3 linked regions of the Drosophila melanogaster genome follow. The gene in region 1 interacts genetically with each later gene. Each region holds a gene or a part of one and is shown on either strand. Other genes may lie near its edges. The genes, in order: ken, tll and cad.

What was found.
Region 2: of ken (region 1) and tll, changing one enhances a phenotype caused by changing the other (phenotypic enhancement), as found in Drosophila melanogaster (one study listed by BioGRID).
Region 3: of ken (region 1) and cad, changing one enhances a phenotype caused by changing the other (phenotypic enhancement), as found in Drosophila melanogaster (one study listed by BioGRID).

The regions. Positions count from the first base shown.
Region 1 is NT_033778.4:23,866,678-23,880,011, reverse strand, and holds ken (ken and barbie), read right to left. Parts: upstream 9,740-13,334; 5' UTR 9,141-9,739; coding exon 9,132-9,140; intron 5,088-9,131; coding exon 4,918-5,087; intron 4,862-4,917; coding exon 3,235-4,861; 3' UTR 2,570-3,234; downstream 1-2,569. Other genes in the region: TM4SF (transmembrane 4 superfamily), read right to left, coding at 1-137, 200-388, 1,054-1,119; Mtpbeta (mitochondrial trifunctional protein beta subunit), read left to right, coding at 11,487-11,550, 11,800-11,959, 12,018-12,192, 12,249-13,259. UniProt on the Drosophila melanogaster protein: Transcription factor required for terminalia development. Negative regulator of the JAK/STAT pathway: represses JAK/STAT-dependent expression of ventral veins lacking (vvl) in the posterior spiracles.
Region 2 is NT_033777.3:30,847,567-30,857,372, reverse strand, and holds tll (tailless), read right to left. Parts: upstream 5,059-9,806; 5' UTR 4,827-5,058; coding exon 4,751-4,826; intron 4,630-4,750; coding exon 3,347-4,629; 3' UTR 2,973-3,346; downstream 1-2,972.
Region 3 is NT_033779.5:20,765,010-20,775,557, forward strand, and holds the start of cad (caudal), read left to right. Parts: upstream 1-5,721; 5' UTR 5,722-6,098; coding exon 6,099-6,900; intron 6,901-10,548. Other genes in the region: dia (diaphanous), read left to right, coding at 1-443, 501-1,031, 1,109-1,581. UniProt on the Drosophila melanogaster protein: Caudal (cad) is one of a number of transcription factors controlling segmentation of the embryo.

The sequences.
Region 1 (13,334 bases):
GAAAACTTGTCTAAGAACTCGACAAAGGAGTCGTCGATGAAGATCTCCACGGAAGTGGGCAGGTTCTCCCTCATGGCCAGCGACCAGCCGCAGATGATGAACTGAACACAGATGCAGGCAACCAAAAGGGCGGCAAACTGCGTGAATCCAAAGGATACGGGTTACGATGGAACTGAAGTAGGCCTAACATGACCATTACCATTCCCAGCAGGCATCGCTTGCGTTGATTGGTGGCCTGGCAGCCCATCCAGCAGAGGATGAAGGTGACGGGTCCCAGGCAAAGCAGGATCGCGGCCGGAGCCCACAGCTTGTTCTGCACAATTCCATAGTAGACCGAGTGACCCCAGAGCAGGGATGTGCCCAGGAAGATCTGCGCAGCTCCAGTCAGCTGCAAGGGAGTAGAGATAAGGATACGGATGAGGATTACGGGCGCTGCTCTTATCACTGCCTGCTGATTTTCATCTCAAGGCCCCGCACTCTGGGTGTCCTTGGACGCGGCCTCAGCTGCACCGTGTGTATTCGGGATGCGCCCTGCACCACGTAGTATACACCATGGATACTGTGGCAATGGGGCCTACTCCCTTTTGACGTCACATGCCAAGGAGCCCCATGTGCACGCATGTGTATACTTGTGCCTATGTACTTAGCGCAGCTTTAAGTAGCTCAAGGTCGCCGCAAGTCGGGACCAGAACGAACGCAAGGCATTATCCTGCCAGCGATGTATGATTTGTGTACGATGTATGTTACTGATGTAGAAATGCACTGGCGGGTGTGTATCAATAGTGTTATCTACATGGGTAGAATTGACTTACTTTCAGAAACTAATTAACTCCGTTTGTCGAGACAAAAGGGTGTATTTGGGTGTCTCTTTCATTGATGTCTTTTGAAATATGCAAATATGAAAATCTGGAAATCTTCGCGACCCACAAACAATCAACATACATAAATACGTACATACATACAATACATTCGAGTGTGAGTACAATGTAGGCTTATGTAATTTGACAAGCATGTAGTTGTGGCCCCGTTTGGGCGCACAGCAATGCAACTTACCGCTAGGAGCACCACATAACTGTAAACCAAATACTTAAAACATTTAATTTTCTTCGGCAATGCCATCCTTTCCCGTTATCCTCGCTGCTCGCTCGCTGTCCCTTTCCCGCAATCACTGAACTACCGTTAATAAACCGAATCCGACTGCGATTGTGTGCATATGTCGCCGTGGGTATGGGTATGGTATGGGTATTGGTGCTGGTGTGCGTGTGTGTGGACTTTCGATCTGGAGCTGGAGTTCTTGGGCCGAATCTCCGGATTCAGTTTCAGATATAGATTCCGATTCAGATTCCTATCTTGCGGATGCCTGTCTTTAAACACCACATAGTCGCGGGCCTCAACTCGCGTTCCCGACTGATCGGATGCAATTTTTAACTAAAAATAACAGTTAACGTTAACTCCGAGCGACTCGAAATCGTCCGCAGTCGAAAATACGCATTCGACGGTCTGACCAGTTGGCTCCTTGTTTTGTTATACTTCAGCGACCAGCAGTGCGAATATTATCTATAACCGTCGCCTCGCTTGCGAATCGCGATTCCGATGACAGCGCCACTCGGGCGCCAAAAGCCGTTACTTTACGAAAGCGGAGTTTAAACAGTGCTCCATTTGCTGCTAAGTTCGGGTATTTCGCAAATTATCTCTGTACGTACGTATGCTTGGTAAGCTTCAATGACTGATTTATATCGTATGGGGTGCTTAATTGATAAAGTGAACTTTTAATTATTTTTAAAAATATATCAAATAGAATGTTATAATTAATATAGTAAAATTGTTGTTTTATTTATGAGTCGAACTAATGTCCCGTCAGTTGACTAAGGACAACGCCAAGAAATAAAAAATAGTTTTTAGGAGAAATAGTTTCACGACTTTATTCTTTGGATCTCAGCTTAAGACTAAAAATCAAATGCAAATTGGATTGAGGAGAAGCCTCAGTATTTGAACAATATTTGTATTTCGGGAGAGCCTCGCTCTTGGGTTCTTAAGATTAGGTAGCGTTGAAAGAGGGCAGTCAAATCTGCTTAGGTCAGGCTTTAGGATGTTTACAAGAACGGCTGCGCTGCCAAAGATAAACGAATGCTGCGCAGCTGGGATACGTTATGGAAAATTACTAGAGTGCATTACTGATTTCTTTGAAATAATGGAAGTGGCTGGTTTGGACCACCCAAATACGTCACTATATATATTTTATATAGCACACACAACAAATGAAATATACTTGTTGGCATCTGGGCTGCCAACTCACGCTTATAATATACTAATCCACTTGGAAAATACCCATAAAATACCAAGTTTATAACGGCTTTCTAGGGCGCCAAAATTTGAATAAAGCTTTACAAATTGCGACAATATTACTAAAATAGAATGTTTTTATTTTGACCTGAAAGAATAGAAATGAAGAACCTGTAATGGAAAATACACCACCCACTCTTCCTCTTAAAATAGCACACAACACAGCGTCGGTTTAAAGTAAAATATATTTCTAAAAATGATCGAAAGAGTATAAACAAACGGAAATGCTTTTCTGATTTTATTACGAGCTTGCGAATTATACTGTACAATTTACACACTTTAATTGGCGATTTTAGGAGGGAATACGTAAAATCTTAACACAAAAAGTGTATCAAAACTATCAAAAATGTAGATATAGGTACAAGTTTGGGCCATGAAGTTCATGCTAGACGAGTTGGAAATACAATAGCAATTAAAATACCTCTCGTATAGACATATGCTTACAAATAAGTGCTCCACTGAATGGACCAGCCGCTTAAAAAGTATTGGATTGGGCTTCTAGAGCAAGGGGGGTGTAAGTAGGTAGTGGTGCATTTGCGGGGAATTGGAATAGGGATTGGATGTCGAATACAACTTAAATGAGAAATCAACGTGAGTGGCCTCCGATCGGGGATCGTGGATCGAGGATCATGCGGATTCAGATGTGGAGCTCCAGGCCGTTGCGTGAAATATGAACGAGCGGAGTCGCGTGAATGTGTTGCGTTGCGTAAACTTAGGATTTAAATTTAGATTTTACATATTTATACAATAGGCAATTAAATCTGCTACTGCTACTATTTAAAATTCAGGTCTCTTTGCAATTGTCCGTCCGGCGAATCACCTCGGATCGACTTGGATCGGATCGGACAGATGGGATACTCTCGGATTATGCGGTTGCCGATGCCCGGGACACTATTCGCGCAGATTCTTTGTCAGCAGCAGGTTATTGTGGTGGCCGGACAGGTGACGGACGAGCTCCTGTACCGACTCGAAGCACATGGAGCAGAAGCAGCAGCTGTACCGGTTCTCCGTATCCGCCCCGTTGGTGGTGGTGATGACGTTCCGGTGAACCGAGCACAGATGCTTCAGCAGGTGGGCCTTCTGCTTGAACATGGCCACGCAAAGGCGGCAGGCGAACGGCTTTTCGCCGGTGTGAACGCGCAGATGGGTCTTGAGGTTCCAGGACATGCCGAACTGTTTGCCACAGTACTCGCATCGATACTCCCGGACCGAGGAGGCGTGCGTGTTGCTGCCGGCCAAGTTCGCACCCGAACCGGAGGCCGACCCACTGCGTCCCTCCGGATGATCCAGGTTTAGGCTGATGTGCGACAGACTAGAGAGTCGCGACTGGAGATTGGGCATTGCGGACATGGCTGCGTTCTGGTTGGACTGCCACTGGTACACGAACTGGGGGCCCAAGTGCATCGGTATCTCGGGACTCTGGGCTCGATTGCGCTGCGCCTCCAGCAGATGCTTCCTGTCCGGCGTCAGTGTGTCCCCATTGAGTGCTCCGTCCTCCAGGTGCGCCAGCATGTTCTTCTCCGATCCAAAGCCCGAAATGGGCGACGTCGTCGACTTGGCCAAGCGCAGTTCCTCCAGTAGGCTGTGTGGGTACGAAGTGAACGGCTGGTTGTCGCTCTGCGTGTTGTGGAATCCGGGTCGCCGCTTCCGATGCGGCGTTACCACGTAGTTCTCCGGCGAGCTGTTGATGTCCGACCCATCGGACAGCGGCTTCATCACATCCTTGTGCGAGTCGAAGAACAGGCCCTTCCGTTTCGTGCTTTCGCTCGCTGTCACTGCCAGGTCGATGCCGCTGTGGTCTGATCCGGATCCCAGGGTTCTGCTCGCCGAGTTCTCGCTTTTCGTCCGAAGGTCGAGTGAAAGGTTGACGGGATTTATGGTTGAGCTGCTGCTGTTGTTGTTGTTATTATTATTGTTGTTGTTGTGGTTGTGGTGGTGATGGTGGTGGTGCTGTTGCTGCTGGTGGTTGCTGCTGGTGCTGATGTTGCTGTTACTGCCGCTGGTGCCGCTGGGCGGTGCATTCGAGAGATTTACAATTTCGTCCGTGTCCTTGTCGCTCTTGTTGTCCTTGTGGGTGCAGTCGTCCTCGTCCTCCTCCTTGTTGTTGTGGCCACCACTCCGCTCGCACTCGGCCGCACTCTCGCAATTGTCGTTGGAGTTGAAGGCGGACGAGAAATCCGCGGCGTTGCGCGACTCATCCACGCTGTCCACCTCGTACTTGAGCGTCTGATCCGGCTCCAAATTCTGTGGGCTGGTGTACTGCTGCTTCCGCCTGTCGGCCCGATCCCGCAGGCCGCCGCACTTGCTGCTCAGATAGGCGGAGTCGGTGGTCTTCCAGCTGTCCGACTTGATCTGCAGCAGCAGCAGCAGGTCGTGCAGATAGTTCACATCCCGTGAGGTAATGCACGTCTGCCCCGAGTACAGGAAGTCCAGCAGGAACTTAAAGTAGGTGGCATTCACGTCCGGAAAGTATACGGTGGTGGAGCAGTCGCTCAAGTGGGTGTCCTCCAGCAGGTTCCTACGGTACAAACGACGCATTATTTCAGTGCAGAGTATGTGTTTTATGTAGATTACCTTATCAACGGACTGGCGGCCGCCAGGACCAACTTGTGGGCGTGCAGCTTTACTTTGTTCTCGCAGACGATGGTCAGGTCCGCCGGGTGCTCCCCTCTGAAGGCTGCTCCGATTTCTTTGAGTATGCACTCGCCATGCTTGCTGTATTGCAACATCAACATTCTTTGAAACTGCAAGTGGAAGAGCAAGTATGTCGGGTATCGTTAGATTTCTGCTATTTCTTTGGCCCAGATCATGGGTGTCAAATTGCCATGAACTGCAGAACAAATTCTCTAGCTCTACTCAATTGTATTACTTGGAAAAACTTGCTCAAATTCTGAGGCGCAATCGCCGAAATAAAGTACTAATTTGTACGTATACGTAATATTCCATTTCCCAACACGCAATCTTGACCTAGGACAAGTAATATTATGAAAACGTTATCAGTAGCTGTTTGGTACAGGAATTCTGAAATTGTTTATGGTTCGATTGTTCTCTTGCGAAGAGCTTGATAGTACGAACTTAATCAACTCATTGAGGAGATTTCGAGCAATGAGCCTTTAGCTATTTTTCACAAAAACTAGAACCATTAGTGTCGTTTAGAAAGTGTGAAGTTACAGTTCCCAAAGTTAAGTAATTTCAAAAGATAATTGGCGATCAATGAGTTATGAGCCGCTGCTTAACGACCGACTTACGGAAGTTCGAGCTATAGAAGTTAAACTGCAAGACTACTTTATGAAGTTATTAACGAATGTATGTGGAGCATGTGGTAAAAGTGGGGCCAGTGAAATAGAAAGTTGTGGAATGGGAAGTCTGCATCTTTTTGCTTTGGTATTACACAATCCGCCTTTCACCGCCTGTGTCGCCCTCTCTTTCTCCCTCTGTGCCCCCTCTCTCTACCACTTTCCAGCGATTGTGTCATGCACGCACACAGGCGCACAGTGCGCGTTGTTAGAAAAAGGATCGTGTAAAGAGATTGGAAAGTGCTTTCCATAACGGTTTAGTGCGACACATTACTGGAATTTCAGCATGTGATCGTGAGTGTGTGTGTGTGCTGGCATTAACAAACTTCCCATAAAGCAATAGTAAATGTTTACTAATCAGGTTTTTAGGTTTTTCTGTACTTGGTGTTTTTGTAATACTGCAACCCACAATCGTCATACATGTGTGTGTGTGTGTGTGTGCTTTGTTGGAAAAGATGAAAGCTTCACTTCATAGAGCTCCACCGTGTTGTTGTTTGTGGTAATGGTGTTGCCTCCAAAAAAGCTTTCCCGCTGTGATGTGCTGTTGTTGTTGTTGCTGTTTCTTTTATGCGATGAAATTGTTACACTGAAATTCGCTGGCCTGTGCAATTGTGTCGTTGTGCACAGGCAGAAAAATGTGGCATCATGCCATGCTATTATGTATAATAATAACATGCAGGTGAATGTGCCATTCAAATTTGGATGGATCATTTACATGTGGATGAAAATGGTAGGCTTAATACATCAAATTCAGCTTTTGTAAGGTTGAAGAGCTGTTAAGTAAACTACTTTCTAGCCAAAAAAAAAGATGCAAATAATAGAAGTCGTTTGAAAATAATGTAAAATGTGTAACATCGAGCTGCCCTTTCTTTCTGTGTAGTTGACTGTATCTGTGTAAGGTCTGTCGCGTTTGCGTGGAAGTGTAGTGCAGCGGGGCTTTTGTAAGTGTGTGCGTTTGCTGGGGGGCCACCATTATTGTATTGTGCAAGAGCATGGCTTGTAAGCTCTTTTCGGCTGCGCGAGTGTGAGTGAGTGTCTGCATGGCACCACGAAAAGTAATAAACCAAAAAGCGAAGCTAAAGTTCAGCAGCAGCAGCAGATCTCGAAAACGGAAAAAACGAAAAACTTCGGAAAGATAGTCTTGCTTTTTGTTACGCTCTGCTGCTTCTCCCCACCAATCCCCGCTCCAGCCCCCTGGCTCCACCACTCCTTTAGCATGGAGACGAACGAAACGTTCACTTTCAATAAAACTTGAATGACTGGCTTGGCGGAGAGCAAGAGAATGGAAATGGGAATGTTGTATTTGGCTTGGGAATGGCAAGCGAAAGCTGAGCATGGATCTTTTATTTTTCGCTTTTTGCACTGCCACTGAAGAGAGGGCGGGGGAGAGCAGGGGCAGGAAAGGGGGGATCTGGTGTGCTCATTCTAACGCTAGATAAATTCCAAAGCGGTATTGACGGAACATACATATGTATATATGCATGTATCTATGAGTGTGTGTGCTTGTATACTTAATGCTTCCACGAATCAGGGCCATTCACTTTCTACAAGTTTCTCGGCGGATTTCGCAATCGAATCTGAATTTGCTTACGAGCAGAGCATGACTAAAGATCGTTACAGCATTTAAGGCAATCAAAAGGTGAAAGTTCATGGTAATAATTCCTTAAATGGAAGACGCTAGGGATCCGTACGTATGTATGTGTTTGTGTATTTCCCAACATTTCTCCGCTCTCTTCGCGAGACTCACACATTCGCACGCACACTTTTGCAAACTGGAAATGAGAATGAAAGGGACAAGGCGGACATGGAGGAGGGTCGAGGGGAGGGCGATACGAAAACAAAACGCGCTAACTCACAATGCGCGCATAAAATCACCTTTCACAAAAAGCTTTTCTCCTCTCTATGCTGTGTATGTGTGTCTGTATGTCCAACGATCGGGGTATAAGCTAAACAACGAAACACACATAGCGACATACAGACGGAGAACGCAATCGTTTGTATATTTCCACACTTTCCGATTTTTGTCGTCGTCATCGTTCCCATGTAATGTAAATGTAGTTTTACAATTACTCTTTCCCCTGCGCATTGTGGTGTCGGTGTATGGGTTTGTTGGTGTGTGAGTGTGCAGATTGCGTGAGTGTTTACGAATGTAAAGCACATGTGTCTATTTCCAAGTGGAAGAGAATGGCAAGGGAACGGAAGCGGGAGCGGGGGGTGAAGAGGGAAGGGGGAACTGGAAATCGAAATGGAACTGGAATCGCACGGATCTTATCCGATCGAAGGCCTCAAAAGAGAAAGCTACGCGGGGTTTTGAAAGTATTATAAGCTCGCGCAAAGGTAAAATGTTAAAGGGAGCGGAGCGCGCGTTCAAACTCGTTTTCCTGCCCTCTCTGTCTCTGTCGCTCCATCGCATCGCATTCTCTTCCTTTCCCGCTCTCTCCCGCGCTGCCACTGCCCCTTTCCCCATTCCCCTTTCACGAAAGCTCTTTGACTTGCTGATCCGAAAAGAAGCGAGGGAAAATGGCAAAGAGTCGCCGTCGCCGTCGTTGTCTTCTTTCGTACTTGTTGTAAATGCTACACTCGTAAAAGTGACCCAAATTTGAATTGCATAACTCCATAAGCTGGGCGATACGGAGAAAGATAGGAAAGGGGCCCGTGAGGGGTTTGCAATGCGCTAGTTTCGTAGACGCCGTCAACGGATCTACGTTTTAAAATATGTATTTGCCAGATAAGGCGAACAGAACGGGGAAATCAAAGATCTCCTCACAATAGCCTTTCCAAGTTCCCCCACCCCCTCCCACGACCCGTTAAACTAAAATCCCCCTCACGCTGAGAAACCCACGCCCGTGGCTTTGCTAACAGCATATTTTGTAACATCTGCGCGATCGTGTAACCGCATGCATGTGTGTGTGTGATTGAGTGTCTGTGCTTTTTCACCTTCACTCTTATTGGAAAGCAGTTAAGTTGGTCGAGTGCGTGCGCCAATGTACGTACATATGTACGCAGATATGTGTCTTCAAATTCCATGACATGCATACGAGCGCACCAATACACGGACGGTATTACGCAGACAAAAGCACGCGATGAAGGTCACTAAGCCTTTCTTGTCTCCAGTTGTTGTTGTTCCTCTGGGTTCAGTTGTTGTTGCAGTGCTAATGATGTTCATGACGACGAAGATTGGATCGCCACGAACCGAAGCTTCGAGGCAAAGTTTTGGATACGATACCATACGATACGATGCGATGCGATCCAAACCGAGCTTGGAATGTTTTCAGTTTTCTGCTTTTCTGTTTTCTGTTTTCTCTACCACTATTAAGTTAGTTTCTGACCTTGGCTGCTTTGTGTGCTTAGGTGCACAAAGAGCCACAAGCCACACACACGTATCGCAGACCCAAAACCCCAACCCCGACTTTTATCTATCTCAGCGATGTTGCAATGCCCAAAGATGATGAAAATCTCGGGGAAAAGCTTGCTGCCGAACGGCAGACTTACCTCTTTCATTAAGTTGGATGTTCAGCAGTTGGTTAATCCCAGGATGAATATAGTCACTGCTATTCACTTGCGCACTTTCTGTTCTGATCGCCTAATCCCTGCGATCGGCCATTTACTGCTGGCTGCTTGCTTAGTGGAAACTTTCGATTTCATTGACCATGGTTTGTTTATATTTTCACAGGAGCAGATTTTAAAATTTCTCTTTGGCTTTTCCTGCTGCCTCTTCTGCTTTTTATGCGACGCAACGCAAGAAATATCCACCAACACACTGGTAACGCTCGCACAAGCACACACACACTCACTAAAGTTCACTACAACGGCACAACTACAACTACAACGTCAACATTAACTTTAACTAGGTTGAAGTTTTGTTTTTTCTTTTTGTTTTATTGCGAAATAAAAAACTTGATTGGTAAAACTTTTTCTGGCGCGAGCGCGACTGCGAGTGGGAGCGGTACGGAGAATCCGATCTCTTGCCTCTCTCTCGATTTTCGATTTCAGCTTCTGCTTTTGCTTTTGCCTTGCTTTGCTTCGCTCTGTTTGTGCTTACACTTTCAGTTTGCGCGCGCGCACGTCCGTTCACTCGGAGCCTTTTTTTTTGACTGTGCGGGATCGGGAAAGAAATTACGATCGCTGCGGCGCGCTGCTCGGTCGATGTATCGATACCGATATCGATAACAGAAAAGCATTCTCTAAGTCTCCTAAGCTACCTTGTAATTTATTATTTATGTTCCAATCATGATTTAGTTTAATATTAGCTAAAATGTAAAAAGACACAATCAATAAAAATACCATTTATATTATCGATAAAAACAGCAATAAGATCTGTATTGGCTTTTTAGATTTCCATTTGGCGTATCTTTCGTTATTTCACAAGATTAAGATTCACGTCCAACATGAAGAACTTAACTGTAACAAGCTTACGCTTTTGGGCTGACCTTATAGAGGCTCGCGATTTTGACGATTCAGACCCAACGTCGCGTAGACAAATGGCGCTGATGATCAAGAAGTTAGCGGAGAACATTTTAAAATCCGCGCCCACAGTACCAACACCACCATCCCCATCCAGCCCATCGCCGAACGAAAGCAATATTTGAGTGAAGCTCCATTGCCACTGACGTGTCCTGGTCCTGGTTCTGATGACTTCCTACTGGTGGCGTCACCTCCACAGCCCACCGACCAGCAACAACAACAATAACGGTTCCTTACAGTGATCCAGCGATCACGGAGATCATTTCACCTGTTAATATACTTTGTTCACCCACTGTAACTGTCTCTCGCGGAGGCGGAGCTTTGGACATTTCCCGACAAAATGTGAGCTTTCGATTATGTTCTACAACTGAAATAAAAAACTTGTTTAAACTTAAATAAAAAATATATAAATAAAAAGGGTAGAAAATCTCAATGCTCAATTTGCATCTGTACAAACGTAGACATTAATTTTACTGGCATGCTAAAGAAATTTCACCTTGATCCCCAATAAGCCGTCATCCTTCCATTATTTGCTTCCTTTGTAAGTCCTTTACGATCGCTCATTTGAAATGCACACGCCGCCTACATTTGCATCCTACCCTTTGCTATCCCATTATAGGAAACCATTAAATTCGTCCTTGAACCTAATTTGTGCCGTTAGCAATAAAAGCAATCAGTGAAACGAATTTGTATGCAAATCATTGAGAAACTAACAATGGTTCCAAAACGACCTGCATTTTATTCATAATCTATTTAAAGTTTAAATTTAGAAATTTGGATGTACATCTAATATGTAAGATTATACAGTACTGCAAGAGTGGCCTTTGGAAGTAATCCTTTCTTTCGCCCATTTGCATACAGCTAGTTGCCTGCTACAGTTATCACTTGCATTGCGGTTCAAGGACATGGTTAATGGTCTTCCATTGTGGGAAAGGGTATACAGACTGTAGGTGACGAATGAGAGCGCAGATGGACATCGTAAACAGCACGCTTAATAGGATAATCAAGATCAAGGTCATTGGAGAAATCTATTCCTTTATGGGACTCCCAGATTGCGTTGCATACATTTGAATGAAGGTGAATGGTGTAGGAATAGTAAACGATTCTCAGAAGCTAAAAAATTTAGAACTGTATATTCAAATATAACCAAGAAATATATCTAAAGTTGGAAATGAAGATCTACCGAATTTTACAAGCTGTCATGCTTTATGATCTACGAGTAAGATCCTCAGAAAGGGTATTTACAGTTCGAAAGCTTTTCATGCATCAGCTTTCGATAACCGATAGTTCGCCGCGATCCGGCGTTCATGTTCATCACTAGCCAAACAGCTGCAGTCGCAACAACGAGAAAAGCGAGAAAAGAAATCAGAAAACTTTCGCAAGATGAGCCTTCAAAATGTCTGCCGCAAGGGTAACGCCTTCAACCTGTTGAATGTCGCCAGGAAAGGTGAGTTAATAGTGCGGGTGTTGCAGTATGCCCCATTCCAAACACGGGCTGCACCAGTTGGACTTTGGCTCTGATAATTCATAACGATTTGTGGCAGCAGCAGCCGATTGAATCTGAAAGGGCCAAAGTCCAAACTCGAATTCGCAGTGACGTCTTGCGGGACAAAGATAATGTATGGGTACATCATGATTAAAAATAACGCGAAACGAGAGTGCTAAGGATAATCCCGAATCCGGAACCCTTTTTCAGTTCAATGCCGCGCTCTATCGGCCGCTGTGGCGAATCCACAACCGAAGCAGAAGAACAGCCAGAATATCGTGCTCGTGGATGGAGTCCGCACACCCTTTCTGACCTCCGGAACCACCTACTCCAAGCTGATGCCCCATGAACTGGCCAGGCACTCGCTTTTGTAGGTTTACAATCCCCAATATCCTTGGAGTATTAGCTTACCCCGCCCCATTCAACAGGTCATTGCTGCAAAAGAACCGCCTGGACAAGGAGCTCATCGACTACATCGTGTACGGCAGCGTCATCCAGGAGGTGAAGACCTCCAACATTGCCAGGGAGGCAGCCTTGGCAGCTGGATTCAGCAACAAGACACCTGCCCACACCGTCACCATGGCCTGCATCAGTTCCAATGCGGTAAGAGCCTCGCCCAAAGTTCCTCGGAGCTTGAATCTATAGCCCATGTATTACAGGCCATCACCACGGGCATGGGTCTGATAGCCACCAACACCTACGATGTCATCGTTGCCGGCGGCGTGGAGTTCATGTCCGATGTGCCCATTCGCCACTCCCGCAAGATGCGCTCCCTGCTCCTGAAAGCCAACAAGGCAAAGACCCTGGGCCAGCGGCTGGCCCTGCTGTCCACCTTCAGGCCAGACTTCCTGGCCCCCGAGCTGCCCGCCGTTGCGGAGTTCTCCTCCGGCGAGACCATGGGACACTCGGCCGATCGCTTGGCATCCGCCTTCAACGTATCCCGGAGCGAGCAGGACGAGTACGCCCTGCGATCCCACACACTGGCCAAGGAGGCCCAGGAGAAGGGCTACTTCACCGATCTGGTTCCCTTCAAGGTGTCCGGCGTGGACCAGATCGTGGACAAGGACAACGGCATCCGCGTGTCTAGTCCCGAGAGCCTGGCAAAGCTGAGGCCCGCCTTTGTGAAGCCCTACGGCACTGTGACAGCAGCCAACGCCTCCTTCCTCACGGACGGAGCTTCTGCTTGCATTATCATGACCGAGGAGAAGGCCAAGCAGCTGGGCCTCAAGCCCAAGGCCTATCTGCGCGACTTCCTGTTCGTGTCGCAGGATCCCGTCAACCAGCTGCTGCTGGGACCCGCCTACGGAATTCCCAAGCTGCTCAAGAAGGCTGGACTCACGCTGAAGGACATTGACTCGTGGGAGATCCACGAGGCGTTCGCCGGACAGATCGTGGCCAATCTGAAGGCCCTGGACTCCGACTGGTTCTGCAAGACTTACTTGGGCCTGAACGAGAAGGTCGGCACTCCCGACCTGTCCAAGTGGAACAACTGGGGCGGTTCTCTGTCCATCGGCCACCCCTTCGCCGCCACAGGAGTCCGCCTCTGCATGCACACCGCCAACCGCCTGGTGCGCGAGGATGGCAAGTTGGGCGTGGTCGCCGCCTGCGCGGCCGGTGGACAGGGCGTGGCTATGCTCATTGAGCGCTATCCGGGCGCCACAGCCGACTGAAATCGCCAATTAATCGACAAGGAGGAGAGTGCAGTTTAACTGCGAGATTGCTAGCTTTTATACACCTTACAACTA
Region 2 (9,806 bases), on another chromosome or scaffold:
CGATGATCCTGCAACGCGATGTCCTCGTCCTAATCGCTTTTTGGATAGCATTGATCAGAGCTGATGATCTAAGACAGCCTTGTTAGAAAGCAGCTGGTGTGCTTTAAGTGTTATGTCTAATGAGGTCTAAAAGTCGCACAATTCTGTGGATAAATCGCGACAAAAGGTTTTTTGTAAGGTACCTATGTAAAAAAAATATCTTTTATACTGAATATTGACTTAATGCAACTAAATTTAGAATTTAAAATCACCTTTTTTCCTCAGTGCATTGCCCCTCTAGTCCTATGACCGTTTTGTCTGGCAAATTATGCGACTAAGCGTCAAAGACAATGCCGCCACGGATGTGTATGCAAATACAAAGAATTTCGTAGAATTTTCCGCCTAAAATTTGCCATTTGCCCACTAAAGTAAGTTAAGCAGAACTTAAGCTACTAAGTAAGGCTCAGGGCAAGAAGCGAAACGAAAACCAAGACCAAAACCAGGCTTAGTTGGCAGCGCATAAGCCACAGAAACAATTATATACCCGCTTATCTGAGCGGCAGATATAGAAAATTGATCTGGCGATAAATCGAGCTACTCAATTTACAAGAACAACGCCGCTTTGACTTTTGCTTGCCGCAGGACGAGAGAGAGAGAAACGTCCTGACTTCAGGTACAAACAACTAGGACAATCGGAAGCCGGATTTGCAATATACGTATATACATAGACGATGTATGTATGGGTATGTTCTGGCCAGGCTCAAACGGATGTTTAATATTTTGGCTTAGAGACATTCTCATTACATTTGAAAACAAAGGAGCTGCGGTGCGCAGACCGCCCGTCCAGGATTTTGGTATTTAGCAAAAGGGTAATCCTGCCCATTAAAATCTATTTGCATACTCATATTTTTGTTTCGCTAGGTAATTGCGCCTGGATAAGGATCAGAGCCAGTAGGAGAGCCTCGAGGAGGGAGCGAGAGAGGTCCTGTGTGGGTTAAGCTTGCGAAACCCTTAACCTGTTAACCCACACCTGCCTTTGGGTACAAACTCGGGACATCCCGCTTACGCGAACTGCGCTAATCGGCCGACGCGTCGCCTTCATTGAGCCCTTTGCGGGGATTACTTAATCAACGAAAATCTATGAATTAAACGCGTTATACAAAATCCCGCAGATTCCGACATACTTGTTCCGAATTTCCCCAGAATTTTCGGACCGCCAGCCACTTGAGATTTCTCCCAGATGAGCCAGTTCCCACCCCCTTTCGGCAGGTAAAGCTCGCGGATTTAATGCAGTTCAAGTGAGGCACAAGTTAGTCTGAGTCCTAGTCCAAGCCGCCTTCAACCTTCAAATGGATTAAATTGAGTCTAGTCTAAGGGGAGAGAATCCGCAAACTGAGATTAATTTCTAAAGGACTCTGAGCTAAATCTACGCCTTAACTGAGGACTTCGTATAAATTGTTAAGAGTAACATATTTTTAAATAATATTTAACATTTTTGTAAATTTTAAAATGATCATTTTTCGCAGTTGATTTAGTTTTTCGTAGATCTCAATCCCATGAAGTAAGAGCCCCATGGTAGTATCACACCCGACGTTGAAGTCATCTTAAAGATGGTCTCCTTCTTTAAGGGACATTATAGAAATCAAAAAGTGAAAAAATGTGAAAATCCTTTTGCTCGCCGGCGAGAGTTCAAAACTACAAGAGAAAACTGCAAATTAAGACGCAAACAATGGCCAACCAACAATGTGCAGAAAAACGTCACTGATGACAGAATGATGAGGATTAGGCCAACACACACATCCATCGAAAGGACTCTCGGGTGCTGCTCTCGGTGTTTCTGCGTTGCTGTGTCCTGGTGCCTGAGTCTATTAAAAGTCTAAAGGCAGATAATAAAGGGCCATTAGGACTTAAAAGGGCTCAACAGCGCAGGGAAATAGAAATATCACAATTTGTTACCCCGGGTTCAACAGCATCCGAGTGAACCGCCTGAGCACCCAGGACACAGGGTCGTCCTTTGGCGAAAGTCGAAATGGCAGCACCAACGAAGCATGCTTAATTCCCAATCCCAATCCCCGCAGGATGTTCTGGGTGCCGTGGTTGGATTGGAATCAGGCTTGGGCTCCGGACTCTCAGTTAGGGTAGGTTTTTGCACATCCTCATCGCTACTGCCATGGATGTGTGTCAGTGGAATACACTCATCTCTGTTTATTTTGGCCAACGCAATTCGAACAATTTGGCAACTGTTTGTTCAGCCTTTGCCAGCGAAAACTCATTTACCTCCGGCTGCACGTTGCTTGGCCATTGTGAAAGGATTCAATTGTCCTTCCGGCAGAGCGATCCCCGATCCCCGAAACCCCGTTCCCGGTCCTGCCAGCAATGCGACGATCCAACGCCGCTCGACAAAGTCACAAAAGTGAATTTTTGCTTTTTAACTTTTCGAATTTCGGGGCGGGAGAGAAAGGATATCAAAACTGGGGCGGCCATTGCACTGCGTCCCTCAGGTTCCCAAATTAATGCCGACTTTGGTCTGTTCATGCAGAAAAACTATGCTAATTTTCCACGGTTTCTTCTGCGATCTAATATTTCTTTGTTCCAGTATTTGCATAATTCATTTGTGATTAACTGGGTTGCCCTGTGCGGTTGCTTTGTCGTCTCTAAGGATGCGAAAAGCCTCACGAAATGGCCATAAAAAGAATGATAATTCCGTGTGTAATCTCATGATTCCATGTTTGGCATAACACTTTCAGCTGCTTACAAAAGTTGCGCAAATAACTAGGACCTACTTCTTGTTTAGTTTAGATATATTTTTTCTAAGCATAGCTTTTGAAAACCAAAAGACCTTTCAAATAATGTGAATACTACGTTTTTTCATTTAATTAATGAAATATATTTTTTCAAGTTTAAAACTTCCGATAGTCCAAATCCAAGTTCTGAAACTGTCAGTTCCATTTCTTCCAAAATATTGCATCCACCCAAAAAGACCCATTAATGTTCATTTCGAAAACCTTTAGGTTTATTTTGAATAATTATTTTTCCAAATCCTAAAGCTAATAATATGCGCTTAAAACTAAAGTGTTTAAAACTACGATTGACGTATTTAACAGGCAAAGTTGAAACTTTTGCGAATGCAATTTGAAACACATCTGGATGGTCTGAGAGACTTTAGCTAAGATTACTTCGAGTTCTGTTTAGGTAAGGTATTAAGGTGAGTGTTGTGTACGTATTTTAAGGCTCGACTCCTGGATATGAGAAATCGTTGATTTCACTGATCGAGTATTGTCCAAAGCGCTTCTTCCGAGATTATCACAGTTCCCAGCACTTGGAAGGCACTTCGAGTGCGGCGATTAGTCTAGGCTCTACATACTTTTCAGATCTTGCGCTGACTGTACATGTCGGAGATGAGGCGCACAATGGTGATGTCGCCGATGGTCTTTCGGAAGAACAGCTCCTCGATGGTGAAGCTTGAGACCTTGTGCATCAGCTGCACCACGCCCAAGAGCGTCTGGAATCGCATGGGCTGCGAGGGATGGGTCCTCTGGATGTAGTTGTGCAGCGCACTCCGGGCATCGTTGTGCATGGCCGCCACTTTTCCCGACTCCAGAAGACCCCTGGATTCAGCAGAGGCCGAGGAGTTCGGGCTGCCGCTTCCTGTCAGGATTGAGCTGTTGGCTAAATCCTCGGTAGAACTTGCCGACGGTGGTGACTTACGGAAGAGCGAAATAGCCCTCAGACACTCGTACTCGGTGCTGTCAATGTTCAGATGGCACAGTTGGTTCAGCACCTCCTGGAAGGCGTGCACCTCGCGGGTCACCATGCCCATGATCTCCCGGTTGGCATTCTCGGACTCGTAGACGAACAGCAGCTGGGCGAAATTCATGGGCATTAGGTACTGGGCCATGGCCAGGATGAAGAACTCCTTCCAGGACTCCTCCAGCAGGAGCAGCTGATCCGGCATGGGCAGTTCGGTGAAGGCCCGTACGCTCTTGATCCAGTTGACGTTCTTGAATAGGTGTTCCGCCGCGGTTTCCTTGATGTGCTCAGCTGCCATCAGCGGAGGAGTGGGGGGCAGGGCCCGAGTGGCCAGGGCATTCATGTAGGCGGCGGTGGGCGAGAAGAAACCGTGGTGTCCTTGGTGCACCGGGTGATGGGGCACTCGTGGCACGGATAAGTCCAAGACAGCGGCAGCCGATGGTGGCGGCTGGAAGGCAGCCATGTGAGCAGGATGATGACCAGCCCTCTGGGGCAGGCCAGGCATGGGCATCGGTACTCCAGGAAAGCCGGTCAAGGCAGCCGTGTTCATCAGAATTTCGGCGGGTATTTGTGGCATCTCGCCGGCGCCCATCATGGCATCCTTGTACATGGCCATGTGGCGACGCAGAGTGGAGTTCCGCGGTCCCCGCTCGTGCTGCACTGCATCCTTGTTCATTCCGACCTCAAAGCACTTCCTCAGTCGGCAAGCCCTACATTGGTTCCTGTGCGTCTTGTCCACCACACAGAGTCCCTGCTTCTGCGACTTGCACACATACTGCCGGGATCTCCGAATGCTCCTCTTGAAGAATCCGGCGCAGCCATCACAGGCGTAGATGCCGTAATGCTTGCCGGAGCTGTGATCTCTGCAGACTTTGCAGGGCACATGGTATAGAATGCGACCTGGAAATTCAAGAAGGGGGGAAAGTTGGTATAAGTAAAGGATTGTCTTAATTTTATATATTAGGAAGATTGTTTTCTTCTTTTTTCATTGCTATCTGATTTTTTTTTTTGCTATACTTACTCGATGCCGCTGGCGAAAGACGCACGCTGTTGTATTTCTGATCCATCATGTCTGGTGAACCCTCCGACGACTGCATACCGATGTGGGGCGTAATTTTGGCGATTTTTGTAGAAACGCTTGCACAAATTGAATTTCACTTGGCACTGGTGTATCTTTGAGTCGTTTTGGATTTTTGTTTTAACGGTTTGGGTGGACGGCGGTATTGCGGATTGTGTGATATATTCGATATATCCTTGGTTACTCCGATGTGGACTCGCTGAGATCACGATGGGTTGTGTTGTCTGCTGTGAGGACCGCCGGCGTTTTAATAGTCCTGCAGACCAAATCCATTCATCGAGCAGTCGATCACCCTTAGGTAGACAAACTCCGCGTTCATTGGTCGAAACTCGGGAGAGGGTTGCTTCTAATGCCCTCTCTCGCATATCCTCTCTCACTCTCCCCTGGAGAATCCTTCGATCCTGCGGCAGGCTGCCATTGCGAAAAATTCATTGAGCAAGGAACGCAGCAGCCGTCGCTCATTCTCATTCTCAATTCTTTCGGTTTTTATGGCCCTTTTCCGCAGGATTCACTACCTGCTCTCTCACGCGAACTCCTCGTCCGTCTGCTACCCTCTCTCGCAGCAGAGAATCTCTGCCCGTCCTGCGACAGTTGTTAATGAAGAGATATCCTTCCATATCCATGGCCGAGTATTTTATGGCGCTGCCATTATTGCCGCTTTGTGATTTGTGTGAAGTACCTGTGGGTTCGCTTCTAGTCCTGCGAGGCGAGTCCTTTTCGAGTGGCGATAGTAGCAGCAGGGGTTGAATACCACGCACTATTGATTGTTTTCCATTCAGTAATTAGGTTTTTATGATGCAACCATATAAATGTTTAGGGAAATGATAAATCTAAAGACTTTGATAGATATCAGATTGTACAGATTTCTTGAGCTTATCAATTTTACACAAATCTGAGTATGAATTTTGTATCGTAATTTTTAAAAAATGTACTCAACATTTTTTAATTAAGAAAGTGCATTATAATGTTGAGCATCTAAACAAATTCTTCGATTCCCCCATAAAATTAAATTTTGGAATAACTTCTGCTAACCAAATACAACGTATTTCCTATATAAAATATATGCACTGATTAAAATAAAAAACAAATATTTGCATTTCTTAGCCAGCTTTGGCAACTTTTTAGGTTCAATCTAAAAATACTTTATGAAAATTATTGCGGAGCTCAGATTGCGTTTTTAATAATAATTTTTATAAATGCTTAATAAATAAAATTATTTTAAAGTAAACCCAAAACGGAGTTGTTAAAATCAAAGGTTCATGTTACTAAAATGGGAGCTAGCCATTTGAGATAGTAGCTCCCGCGGCTGAGCCAGATTAGGCGTTGCCTTTTGAGAGCCTTTAGGATTCAAGTGGACAGTGCCTCTAATCTCGCTTGGTCCTGCCAAGTCCCGAAGGACCCACCGATTCCTCGACTTAAGCTCGCCGCTTAAGCAGATTACGGATTTTAGATCGCGGGAGTGGTACTGCCTGGAAAAGGCACGCTGGTCGGGAGGCTGCTAGATCAAGCTTTTCTGTCTTCGGGATCAGCGAATTCAAAAGAAAGACATTGTGCGAGGTCCCAGCATCGGGCGAGTACTTAATAATGTTAAGCAAGATCCTGTAAGTCTGGTGCGATTACGCACCAACGCCTAAGGCCATGTGATCCTGATCCAGGACCTCGAACGTGGGAACAGCTCTCTGCTCGAACGGACTCGAATGCAGAAGGGCGGAGATGCAAATGCAATTCATTTGATATACGATAGACACTTGAAAAGAGCAATTATATTTCGATTCGTATTACGGATGCGTAACTTGATCAATAAAATGCTTGACATGATATCAACAACAGTCGCCAGGGGTTGCAATGTCCAGGGGTTCTAATTGGACTAGTCAACCCCTGGATGATGCTGAATCGGAGGGGGTGGTTAATTGGAACTCAGGTGTGCTGCATGGGAATTCGCTTGCGTGTGTTGCTATTCCGATCATTAGCTGGACTTCCATGGGGGGAGGATGCTCTACTAAACCAGATGACGATGACATATCAATTTTTGACATTCCCTTGACCGTTCATTGAGTTTGAAGTAATTATAATTGTGGGAACTCGTGAATATGCAGATGAGGAGGCTGCATCTGTTCGATCTTCCCACGTTGTATGAGTATGTTCACAACTAAGCGAAAATTTAGTCATTGCTTTTAACATAACAACTAATATGTGGTAATAGTCAATTCGCATAGTTCTTTAAACAGTTTCCAAGGGCCAATACATTTAAAATTACTATTTAATTAATTTGGAATTTTAGAGATAACATTTCTTGATTGTGGCAATAAAGCAATTTGTCATTCATCAAGTTGTAGTTACGGAATATATGACTTTAGGAAGTTTGAGTTTGGTAGTGATTTCCCCTTTCCTTTCATTGAGACCAACTATCAGCTCCCTTGCTTAATGAACTCGGAACGCCGTTCAGTCGCTAATCCGGGGGATTAGCGCTAAATCCACCACAAGAATTGAAACAGCAGTCACCGGCAGGTCGGAATATTTCAGTCTATCGCCTACCTAAGCCAGGTAACCACCCACCGCCATCAAAACGGCCATTCAAGGTCGCCGATGAATAAAAGTGAATAAAAAATTCCCAGAATTTTTGCGACTTTTTTACAAAGTTCCTTGAGGACGAAAAGCGAAAGGATCTAGGTAGCGATTATTCGTCTTAATTACGAGTTAGCACCTTTTTGTCTTCGAAGAATGCAGGTGCTACCGTTTGGGTTGGCTTCGATTTTTATGGCACTTTCGCTGCGTTTTTATGAATTGCTCGACGGCTCGGAGAAAAGGGTTAAGACGCCACACGGCTAATGGCAATTCGAGGTTCGAGCGAAATGAAAGGGTTAAATAGCTGGGAAATTCACTTCATTTGCATGCTGGAGGTGGAAAAATCCCGCTCTTCGCTTTTATGGCCCAAAAGTTGCCGCCGCCGCTCCGAATTCATTGAGCATTGAGTAAACTCTTCGAGGGAAGACCGACCCTATTTCCATGGTTATTTCCCGAGATATTCTACCGCTGACCCTGCGCTTTGGTCATTATGAATCGCGCCAGACTTTTGATGGGAAAGACCCGAAATGTCATTAGATGAGTGTTTTGCTTCAGTTTTATGGCACGTCGCTATCTGGTGTCGCAGAAAAATTTTTGCATTTCAGTGCACATGTCCTCACAAATGCGTAGGAATGTTCATGTAAAATATATAGAATGCTTAGGTTTAAAGACACAGAAATTGGACTTAATCTTTAAGAAGTCCCACACCCACTGTCAAACCCTTCAAGTCCTAAAGGCCGCCGTTAGTCTCGACACATTACTAATCTCTAAAGATTTGCAAATCCACGAATTAGATTTATTTCGGATCAGAATAAAAATTCAGAGCGAATAACTATTCAAATAAATCTACATTTTTGGCGGGCTTAACTCTTTCCCAAACTGTAACCAAACCCGATTGCGTAACCATCAATTATCCCTTTTGGCGCCAAGAAGACAAAGAATCAGAAGTCTTTTGGCGCTCATAATATGCAAATGCACCCAGAAACTGCGGAAACGAAAACCTTTAACGACAACTTCCGCCGGAGCGAGACAGCAAAGTTCACCAGTTCGTAAAAGCAAAAAGCCTGTCAAACCCAAACTGAAAAGTGCAAACAGACAGGGGAGTAAAGGAGATAGCTCCGAATATCCTTTCCCGAGAACGAGATCCACAGGAAGCGACTCGCAAATCACGTCAAACTGAAGTGCAAATGGAACCCCAAGAGGCTTGAAAGGCAGGAAGTGGACTATTAGACCCTAAAGAGGACAAACAGCCTAGGAAAAGCGCAATAATTACACGGCGGGCAAATTGAATCAGGGGAACGGGGACACAGATAAGCAATCTGATCTTGAGAAATCAGGCGAACAATCCCAAACATGAAATTAAAGTGCTCGAATATCCTCGGAAAAATTGCGCAAGTCGGGAGGACACGCCGGCAGAAAGTTGAGCAACTTTTGTCGGGATTTGACAGCCAGAATCGGGTCCTCGGAGTGCCGAGGTTCCCAGACCTGCACGTGCAAAATCAAATCCTCCAGATAGGTTTCATATTCGTGGCTGCCACGGAAACGCGGCCAGAACAATGGGACACACCTCCAAGATTTGGGCCACTACTACGACCCGATATCCGATGCGAGATTCGGAGTCTTCTCCGGCAAGTTCTCCGATTTCAGACTGTTGAATGCCCCCGAGATTATTTATGCAACAGGAGAGCCAAAGGAAACAAGTGATGAAGTCGCTGCTTCCATTTCCAATTCAGTTTTGATTGTTATGTCCTGCACAAAGAGAAAATTTATACAAATGTTTGCTACTGATCTATTCAATTACGAAGATATTAGATATTTAATAGAAGGTCATGTAAAGTTATAACATCTTACAACTATATTTCAAATTGTGCCTTTTAGTATTTTTTTGCATTTCAAGCGAGTTCTTTTAATTTTTCTTGGTGTATTAGTTGGACCTTGCATAAGTGCCAGTACCTTAGTTTTGAGTCTGAATCTGAGGACCTTTTGTGGTCCTCGCAAAGAGGAGCCTCTTTGTTTCGCGCTCAACATTTGCCAGCCAACATAACTTAAGGACTTTTTGTTTGCCTTTTTTACAATTGAATACCAGCTCGCTGCTGTTAAGTAGGATGTCCTGTTTGCCGCTGGCCCTTTGTTTTTGAAAAGATTTAGAGGGCCAGAAACCAGGCCACGTCTCGTTTGCATCTTTAAGTCCTAAGATTATGTCATACGCAGATTATTCCAGATAGAGAGTAGTCTAATATCTGCGTTACATTTCTCACGCCCGAGACTGTTGCTAAAAGTTTCGGATTTCATTCCCAGATATGCCGAGAAATTTTACACATTTCTTGCAAAAATTTGCGAGTAAAATGTGTTTATGTTTTCACTTTTTCCACAGGAGATAGAAAATCTACGAACTCTTACCGAATTCGCCCCGCTTTTCCGGCTAAAAGTGTTC
Region 3 (10,548 bases), on another chromosome or scaffold:
CATGAAGCGGGCCAACTGGAAAGCCATTGTCCCGGCCAAAATGTCCGACAAGGCATTCTGGGTCAAGTGCCAGGAGGATAAGCTGGCCCAGGATGACTTCCTCGCAGAACTGGCCGTGAAATTCTCTTCTAAACCTGTAAAGAAAGAACAGAAGGATGCGGTGGACAAGCCAACGACGCTGACAAAGAAAAATGTCGATCTTCGTGTGCTCGACTCGAAGACTGCTCAGAACTTGGCTATTATGTTGGGAGGATCGCTGAAGCATCTGTCCTACGAACAGATCAAGATCTGCTTGCTGCGCTGCGACACCGACATCCTGTCCTCCAATATCCTGCAGCAACTTATCCAGTACCTTCCGCCGCCAGAGCACCTCAAGCGTTTGCAGGAGATCAAGGCAAAGGGCGAACCGCTACCGCCGATTGAACAGTTTGCAGCCACAATAGGTAAGGCGAATGGAGTTTGTAGTGCAGAAGGCGCAGAATAACTTTACTTAATTTCAGGGGAAATTAAACGCCTTTCGCCGCGACTTCACAACCTGAACTTCAAGCTGACCTACGCGGACATGGTGCAGGATATCAAACCCGACATTGTGGCAGGAACGGCAGCATGCGAAGAGATCCGGAATAGCAAAAAGTTCTCAAAGATCTTGGAGCTGATTCTGCTGCTTGGAAATTACATGAACTCGGGCTCCAAAAACGAGGCCGCCTTTGGCTTTGAGATCAGTTATTTAACCAAACTGTCCAATACGAAGGATGCGGATAATAAGCAGACATTGCTGCACTACCTGGCTGACCTGGTGGAAAAGAAATTCCCAGATGCACTAAACTTCTACGACGATCTGTCGCATGTTAATAAAGCGTCGCGGGTCAACATGGATGCCATCCAAAAGGCCATGCGGCAAATGAATTCGGCGGTTAAGAACCTGGAAACTGATCTCCAGAACAACAAGGTGCCGCAGTGTGATGATGACAAGTTTAGCGAGGTGATGGGCAAGTTTGCCGAGGAGTGCAGACAACAAGTGGACGTGCTGGGTAAGATTATCTCATCTGATCGGAACGAATATTACATGAGCAAAATCGAATTCTCTAACATCTCGTTTTAATTTCAGGCAAAATGCAGCTGCAAATGGAGAAGCTGTACAAGGACCTCAGCGAGTACTATGCCTTCGATCCCAGCAAATACACAATGGAGGAGTTCTTTGCGGACATCAAGACTTTCAAGGATGCCTTCCAAGCGGCCCACAACGACAATGTCCGGGTACGCGAGGAGCTGGAGAAGAAGCGTCGTCTGCAGGAGGCCCGAGAGCAGTCTGCTCGAGAGCAACAGGAGCGCCAACAGCGTAAGAAGGCAGTGGTTGACATGGATGCCCCGCAGACGCAGGAAGGCGTGATGGACAGTCTGTTGGAGGCGCTGCAAACGGGCTCAGCCTTTGGCCAACGAAATCGACAGGCCCGGCGACAACGACCGGCGGGAGCGGAGCGGAGGGCACAGCTCAGCCGGAGTCGATCGCGGACGCGTGTCACCAACGGACAACTAATGACCCGCGAAATGATCCTCAACGAGGTTCTAGGCTCCGCGTAGAAGTAATGGAACGAGCAATTCCCCTCTGTACATATATAAATAGATATCTGTAGCGATATAAGGGCCTGGGCTCATTAGCCGTGAGTCCGTGTGCGTCGCCTTGCTTGCATATCAACTCAATTGGCGTGTCCAAGAGATTTGACGAATTGGATGCCCAGCAGGAAGGACTGTATCAAGAGCCGCAAAGTACTAATTAACTGGAACTAGAGTCACAGGTGGATTTTCCGAAATTATTAATTGCTGTAACGGAGTCCTTGGTTTATAGGATTGAGTTTTCCGTTTGAATTGATTGGAGTATTTATTTAATTGATTGTTTAATAAATAACATTTTGTTTAGAATTTATAATATGCAAATAACACATACAAGATCACTTTTATTTAATTAAAATGATTGGCAGGCCTTTTAATTTCAGCTGTACATTTTATTTTACTGCTATGACTGTCCCAATATTAAAGTACCAATTTTACAAGTCGAATATACTATAAAAAAACTTCTAGTTGAAACTAAATTCATGTCAAGAAATTAGCAATGCATATCGATGAAAACTCCAACTTCGCTACCTATACGAAAAAACTAAATATATAGATATTTTTGATACGCTTTTACTTCTGAAATTATGTCGTTGTAAGTCTAAATACTTAAAAATGAAACTGAAAGCAACTTTAAGATTTATCTGTATCTTGTGGTCTTTACATACTGTATTCCTATTTTACTGTGGCATGTTCCAATCATTTTGCTGTGCACTTCGTTTTCGAGGCACTCAGTAGAGCAGAGGCGAGATTTATATCAAAGCAAAATTCCTTTTGTATTTAATTTGTTTTTAAGCGAAACTTTTTTGAACTTGTTTACCTTAAAATCCTATTTTAATCCGCGCTATACATAACATTGTTAATAAATGTCTATTTTTCGACAATGACGGTATATTGAAAATAAAACTACCAAATCAACTGCTTCTCAACCAATTGATTGGCAATAATCCTGGAATATTCCACAAGAAGGCTTGGCTGCGAATCCGAAAGCAATTTGGGCTTTCCACCCATGTGTGACTTGCCGCCTTTTGTTGTTCTTCTCCACTCTAATTTGTTTTATTAACAAAGATATTTTATCGCCAATGTCGCGGCACCCATAAAGGTGCTTGATTGCGACGGCGAAGGAGGCGGTTGCTCGGCTCGTACAACGCAAAATGCACTTGCTGCGGGATCGGCTGGGGGTTGCGGGTGGGCGGAAGGGGTTTCTGGAGGGGTTTGGCCCGGCAAACGGCCGTAAAACTCTCAAAAACGTTAAACGAACCGACAAACAGCGAATGCCGCACGACAATGATACGTCTACCATCCATACATATCCATCCATCCACACTCAAATCCGTCTGGCGTCGACGCTCCACCAAGCCACAGATATAGGTTGTTAGATCGGGACTGGAACTTGGACATATCTGTAATGGTCTGATTGCCCCTTGAGTTTTATTTCGGAGTCTGCTTTATGGGCTATGGCGCTTGCTTTGCTTTCTTTATGGATTTATTAACATAATTGAGGGAATATGTATAAATACCATTGAATTCGTAGCAGGTTGTTAATGTCAATGGCGGGGACAGATTCTAATTTACGATGGCCAGATAGAGATGCATTAGAGTGTTTTACAGATTGAAATAAATCTTTCATTGCCGGAAGGGCAATTCGAAATGGATTCTCTGCTTTCGATTCAACTAATCGTCGGGGAACGTTTGTATATTATAATATTATGTATTATGTTTGTAATTGATCAACACTTTCTATTTGATGAAAAAATATTACAATCTTCTATCAAATCTTGCGTTTGTACGACCAAAATTCATGATTCATCTCGAATTTGCCGCCCAGGGGGAGTTACCATATGTTTACATAGATCACTTAGGGATTAGCCTTTTTGTGCGCCCCTAATGACTTCCAGGTAACGGCGTGTTACATGACTTGCCCGTGCCTGGGATGAGACGAGGAGCCCAGCCTTATAGAGCCCACGGGTCGTACCCTTCCAGGCCCAGCCCACGCAGTAAATTCCACCGAATTGTTGACGGTTTGCGAAAAAGAGGAAAAAACAAATCTGGGCTGTGGCTGCCTAATTGTTGTGTGAATTTTATGGGCCGATCGATGGGCAGGTCAACGCATCAGCACCACCTTACAGGCCTTGTTTGGTGTCCTCGTTCCCGTGCGACCTCTACGATCGCATCCTGGTTTCTGTATTCTGGTCTTTGGGTCGCAATGGCGATGGTTATGGCGAAAGCGATCGCGTTCGCGTAATCATAAAATCACCTTTTGTGCGCGGGCCTTCGATTGTTTTACAACATGTTTTGTCTTACGGACATTAAGGGGTTTTTTGTTTGCAAACGAACCCGAACCAGTTTTTGGTAGTTCAGCGTTAATAAGTGAGTATTGAGTACCTCCCTCGCGAGGCCAACTGCCCGGTGTGCTTCTGTTCCCGTGTTCCGCCGAGTCCTTTTCGGGGATATGTCGGTTATCCTCCATTGTGTCAGCTGCATTCACTTCTAATTATTTGACGCGACATTTGCAGTTTGCAGTTTTACGATCCCATACCGAGCATCGAACATCGCGGCAATCAATGAATTTATTTTTTACAGATTTAGAGAGGATTTCTGGAATCTCGGGATTACTCAATCGGCGCGAGCTTAGCGTTCTTTTTAGGGATTACAATTGGGAGTAGCTGTGTGGTATCGAAATTCTTGCGAAAAATTAATAAGAATGGTGTTAGCTGACCTGGAATTTGTGAGGCAGGAATATGTTTAACCAACTATACCTTATTCCAATGAATATATTATATTCCTTTGTGTAAGGAAAAATTATAGTCAGATAGTTTGAAAATAATTGGACAATGATTTCACATTCTAATCTTAGGGTATATTACATGTATAGTTTTATAATTAATGCCACAATATGAATATTTGGAATTTGTTATATTGCCAATATATTATAATAATTAGGCGCGTTTGCAATCTTATGATCACACGCGTGTCTGTCATAAATTATAAATAAATCAATTTATTTATTATTATTCAAATTGCGTTCAATTATTAGTTTTTATGTTAGTGAGGAGGTTTTGTAAATGGGTTTATTGATATTATTAATTCTTTACCGTATTGGGCCAATTTTGCCTTTTGCTTCACGAAATGGGTAACACTTTTGCTAAAGTCGTTATGAAATAATAATCGATATTTCAATTCCACCCATTTGTTAAACTTCCAGCGAAGTTTGATCGAAAATAAGTTCTCATGGGAATTTAAATTGATTAGTCATATTTTTGGTAATGAAGCTGGAAACTTTCGATTTACATTAAATGATAGATCCGTCAAAAGATCACCTCATTTTTAGTACCATCTTTTTTTTTTACATAAGCCCCTTGTATCACATCTTGCACCTTATCAATGCCAGACTTCTTCCGCTATATTTGAGTTCCCTGCGAATTTTTATCGCTGCTTACATGTCAATTATGGCATTAGCTTTACAACTAGAACCGAACAATAGTGCTTTGACAATATCGAGGCGCCCATATAAACAGCGATTGCTTGGCAAACACCAAAAGTCTGGACATCAAGTGTGTGCAGATCAAACACGGTATATGGATATGGAGAATAAAATCCGGAGGATAAAACATTGATTATTCCCCAGATAGAGGTACATATATCGCGACTATTACGACCGTGGCAACATAATTTTACAGCCACTAATTGCATAATACACACGCATCTCCGCAATTACTTAATTAGCCAACGGCAATTGCAATTAAAGTACATACAAATCGAAAGCGGGCCATAAAGGAAAAGGGGTTTTCTTGGCCAAGATATTACGACAAACTGCATACCTGGCTCAATGGGGCGTGGCCACCTGCCTGCCAGCCATCGCAGACCGGTGCGAAAGAGACGGAGCACCAGACAGACGGAGATAGCGGTAGTCAAGCACTCAGGCCATCTTGAATTTCGACCGAGCAACGGAAATGAGGGTTAAAAACGCCCAAGTAAAGGCACTGCTCGTGCGCTAGAAAGAGACAACTAGTGAGTGCCGACTGCGGTGGTTGTTTTTTTTGAGCCTCTCTGCCTGTTTATCTGATTTTCCACTGCTTTGAGTTTTTTATCAGTCGAGTCTTGCTCTACGTTTCAGTACGTGTTCGACCTGCATACTGAGTTGACGTCGCCACGCACGGAATAACATTTCAAATTAGTAGATTAGCCCTGCAAAACAAAAATCCATCTCGTGAGTGAGTGCTGAAAAATAGCGTTTCGAAATATTATCGATATCTCGGTCGTATGTTACTGTGCTCCCAAAAAACACATCACCAGCCAGTGATAACTGTAAAGATTGACAAAGCAAAATATATCCATTATAACCCAAACTGAAACTCCAGAAAATGTGCAACTAAAACATATTGGCCATCAAAGTGATAAGACTTAGAGATTAACGCCGGATTATTGGACACCGGACCGAGCACTGGGACTATCTTCGGAGAAAGCGCACCTAATCTAACCTCAAAATGGTTTCGCACTACTACAACACACTGCCCTACACACAAAAGCACAGTGCCGCCAATTTGGCCTATGCCTCAGCGGCGGGCCAGCCATGGAACTGGACGCCCAACTACCACCACACGCCGCCGAACCACCAGTTCCTGGGCGATGTGGACTCCTCGCATGCCGCCCACCACGCGGCCGCTGCCCACCAGATGTACTACAACTCCCATCACATGTTCCACTCGGCGGCGGCGGCCTCTGCCGGGGAGTGGCACTCACCCGCCTCGAGCACGGCGGATAACTTCGTTCAGAATGTGCCCACGTCGGCCCACCAGCTGATGCAGCAGCACCACCATCATCACGCCCATGCCTCCAGCAGTTCCGCCAGTTCCGGGAGCAGCAGTAGCGGTGGTGCACCGGGTGCGCCCCAGCTCAACGAGACCAACAGCAGCATCGGCGTCGGAGGAGCAGGCGGTGGCGGTGGTGTTGGCGGGGCCACCGATGGAGGACCAGGTTCCGCACCACCCAACCATCAGCAGCACATCGCCGAAGGTCTGCCGTCGCCACCGATTACCGTTTCGGGCTCGGAAATCTCTAGCCCGGGGGCGCCGACTTCTGCCTCGTCGCCGCATCATCACTTGGCACACCATTTGAGTGCCGTCGCCAACAACAACAACAACAACAACAACAACAACAATAGCCCATCCACCCATAACAACAACAACAATAACAATTCGGTGAGCAACAACAACAGGACATCGCCATCGAAGCCGCCATACTTCGACTGGATGAAGAAGCCCGCCTATCCAGCACAACCACAACCAGGTGAGTCCTTAGAGACCCAAGAATATATTAAATACAGATTTAGTGTTTTATGAGGGGGTATGATCGGTTACTTCATAACTTTATGAGTAAGGCTAATAACCTGCTTTTACTGCAAAGTTAAGGTCTATGCTTGCCATTGTCACTAGCTTGTATGAGTTTTTTTTTTTTAATCGAATGTGAAATAAGATCTTACTCACCGAAGGCTTTTAGTCCGAAAGACCTCGATTACCCGAATTTTTGTGTATTCAGCTACTTAGTCATTCCACTGACCTTCGATTCCGCGTACCCTGCGCTTGGGTTTCTCCCGCATCCGCCTGGCTACATTCCGAACCCGAAGATTCCATATTGCCCAGCACATAATGCACTGCATTGTCTTCCCGCCAAGCTCGTGCTGTTCGCGCTTTTCCCTGTCCATCTCTCACGGTACATATATGGGCTTTTATAAGAATCCGTTTGCCTGGCGCGCATCCAAGTCCAAATGGCCAATTAGCTCATAAAAATCAAATTCTGTTCAAGCTTCACTTTTATGATATTCAGTTGGGGTCGCGAGATCCCCGATCCGACGCCTTGATTTATGGCCACCCCGTGTTCACCGTCCACATGAGTGTTTCTGTTTGTTTGCTCCACTCTGTCTCCGTCTCGATTCCGATTCCATTGACTAATTTTGTATCGTAAATCAACTTAACAACTATAAGCATTTGAAAATGGTTTGATCAACTTACCAATAACCAGACAGCATTTGATGGAAAGTCCATCAGAGTAGAGGACTGGACTGTAAAGGCTTAGGAAAGTTAGGGAGTTCGGAACCTATTTCACAGCAATTAGCATTATGTGGAGTGTCTAATTGAAGGTTTCACTATTTTCTAAAAATAGTGAATATTCTGAATAATAAGTGAATAATACCCAATTCGACTCTCTTCTCTCAGTTCATGCAAATTTTCTGTGATTATGTGGATTTCTTGCGTTTTGTTTGCTGTGTTTTCCTACACCTCTGGAAAAACAAGCAAAGGCAATTCAGATGGCAGTGCAGCGATCTCAAACATGAGAAGGAATAAACCACTCACACATTTGTTCACGATTTATGACCCGGGCGCATGTCAAGAAGGGGAAAATGAAGACGACGATATCGACGATATCGACAATAACGCCGATATCCATTAAGCCCATAAAATCTGTTGGCATGCAATTAGCGTTTATGGCCGCTAATCCAGCTGATCAAGCCGACAAGGCGACTCAAGTTTGCCTTATTTATTATTATTCAAAACCCCCTTTAGCCTCCGCTGTCTGAATGTCACCTTTCTGACGCGCGACTGATTGTAATTCTTGCCGTATTTCATTTGCCTAAAAAGCACAAATATTTAAGTAAGAATAAATATTATATAAAAATAAAGTTAGATATTATTTACAGCCACTATGAGCGATCAGCAGCACCTTTTGCCAACACTTTGCTCAGGTATTATCTCTCTGGCATTTTCTTTGAATTGATGGTCTCGCCAAATCGAGTAATAATTAGTAATCTGCCTTTTCCAACAGAAGAGAAGAGGGGGGCTGTGACTAACACTTCGTGATTTTTGATAGAATTATAAAAGGTCCATTTTCCGTTGTCTGCGCGGCATGTGGCGGCATGTGGCGGCAGGGCACGTCGAAGGCCCACTTCAGCTTTCGGGGTGTGGCAATAAAACGGCAACCACGATTGTCGCTGGATGCAGATGCCGTGTACTTTTGTTTCAATGGCTGGTGGTTCGGGCGGGTTTTTCGATTAGATTAGCTAGCGTGGGGAATCAAATAAACGCCCGCCCTGTCAATAAGTCCTGAAAACCCCACCCAACCCATGGGGCTGCGAGTTCTATTTTCTGTTGCTTCAATAATGTGCCGAGTGATATGGAAACGTGGCCACAAAAAAAAAAAAAAAAAGAGTTCTTTGCGTGTTATCTAAAACGTCAAAAGCGTTGTTGATAAGCGATTCCGCTGCGTTTGCGACGGGCATATTGATTAAAACAATATAGGGTCGTAAACCAATAAAAATTAGTATTACTTCCAATAAAAACTAAATAGCGACATTTACGATCAAATCTATGCAATCATTATTAAACGGCAAGAAATTTAAGTGTCCATAGTTCAGAAAAGGATAGTTCCAACAATTCTGGTTTGCCAAAGTTGGCTAAAGTATCCAACCAATTGTATCAGTTATCCAATGTTGCCCAAATAAGGCTCCTCATTCTTTGATCCTTCGATTGGCCAACATCTCATTGCATTGAACGCACTTAGCAATACATTTTTGCTTATTAGCTGTCCGTAATTTATTGTCGTTATAATTTCTCCGGAGAACCAAATGTATCTAGGGGCCCAAGGAGTTCTTACTGGGATTGTCTGTAGATTTTCAGCATTGCCCGTGTTGGGACATAAAAACTAATGCCACCTGACACATTGAGATTTAATGTGTCAATATGCACAGAAAATTTATATCTAGCCACATAAATAATCGAAAAAGAGAGAGAGAGAGAGAGAGAGAAGGAATATATGGCGGGCTTGGATTTATATTGCTTTCCCGACGCATCTGAAAAGTGTTGTACTGCTCCACCGGCGCGGATGGGATACCTTTGTGGTCCGATTTTGGTCTGGGTCCCGCTCCGAGTACCAGTACCGTTCCCGGTCCCAAGATAAGCCATCGAAAATGGCCACTAGCTGCAGTGGAAATATGTTTGGTTCGGTTTCCTTATCAGCACTATCGCTGTTTGCCGATGACATTTACCCTTCCCGTTCACCCGTCCAAAGTTTCCTCCTCCGCTCCTGCACGGGTCAAAAATGAAGTCGATTTTTGGCTGCGACTGATCTACGTGGAGTGTGCGTTTGGATCGGTGATTGACATGATGGGATTAGCATTGGAACTCGCTGGCCAGGCCGTCCCATCTCCCTGTCCGTTTGTCACGGACTTGTTACCAATGTGTCGTTTGCTCTGGGCTTAGTTGTCCAAATAATAGAATAGAATCGTGTTTGGGTTTTCCTGCTCTATTTGTATTGGCCCTGATATTGGTAATAACCAGAAATTCGAGTCTTGTCCCAAAGCCCTGCGCACACAGCCGTATATATGTCCATATACGCATAGGTCTCCACTTTCGTGTACATGTTTTTGATATACCATTCGAGGCGTATCGAGTTTATATTGGAGGCGCTAGGGATTCCGGGGGCTTAAATTGGGGTTACGGACAGCTTACTCAACGGAGTGATAAATTAAAATGGTAGCTGTTCAAAATGGGTGCGAAATGTGTCGGACGATGTGTTATTTATTAATGGAAATTGGCGCATTTTATTTTGATGAATTATAAAACAATGTAGAATGTAAAGACCATGGAAACTAATTTAAACTACTGTACAATCCATTTGGAAATCTTTGCCTCAAGTTATTTTATCAATGAAAGTAAACAGCAAAGAGAGAGTCCAGAAACTGTAAATTATAGCCACGTTTCCTGTTCGCCATAAACCATAATTCCATAATGGGAATACTGCGATGTACATATGTACATAGTTCGTATCGGGAAAACGAGGCGAAAGCCTTTTGTTTGGGGGGCAACTTGGCCAAGTGACAGGGAAATCCGATTGTCAATCAACGAGGTCCGCCTGAATTATGACAACACAAAACGTTGCAAT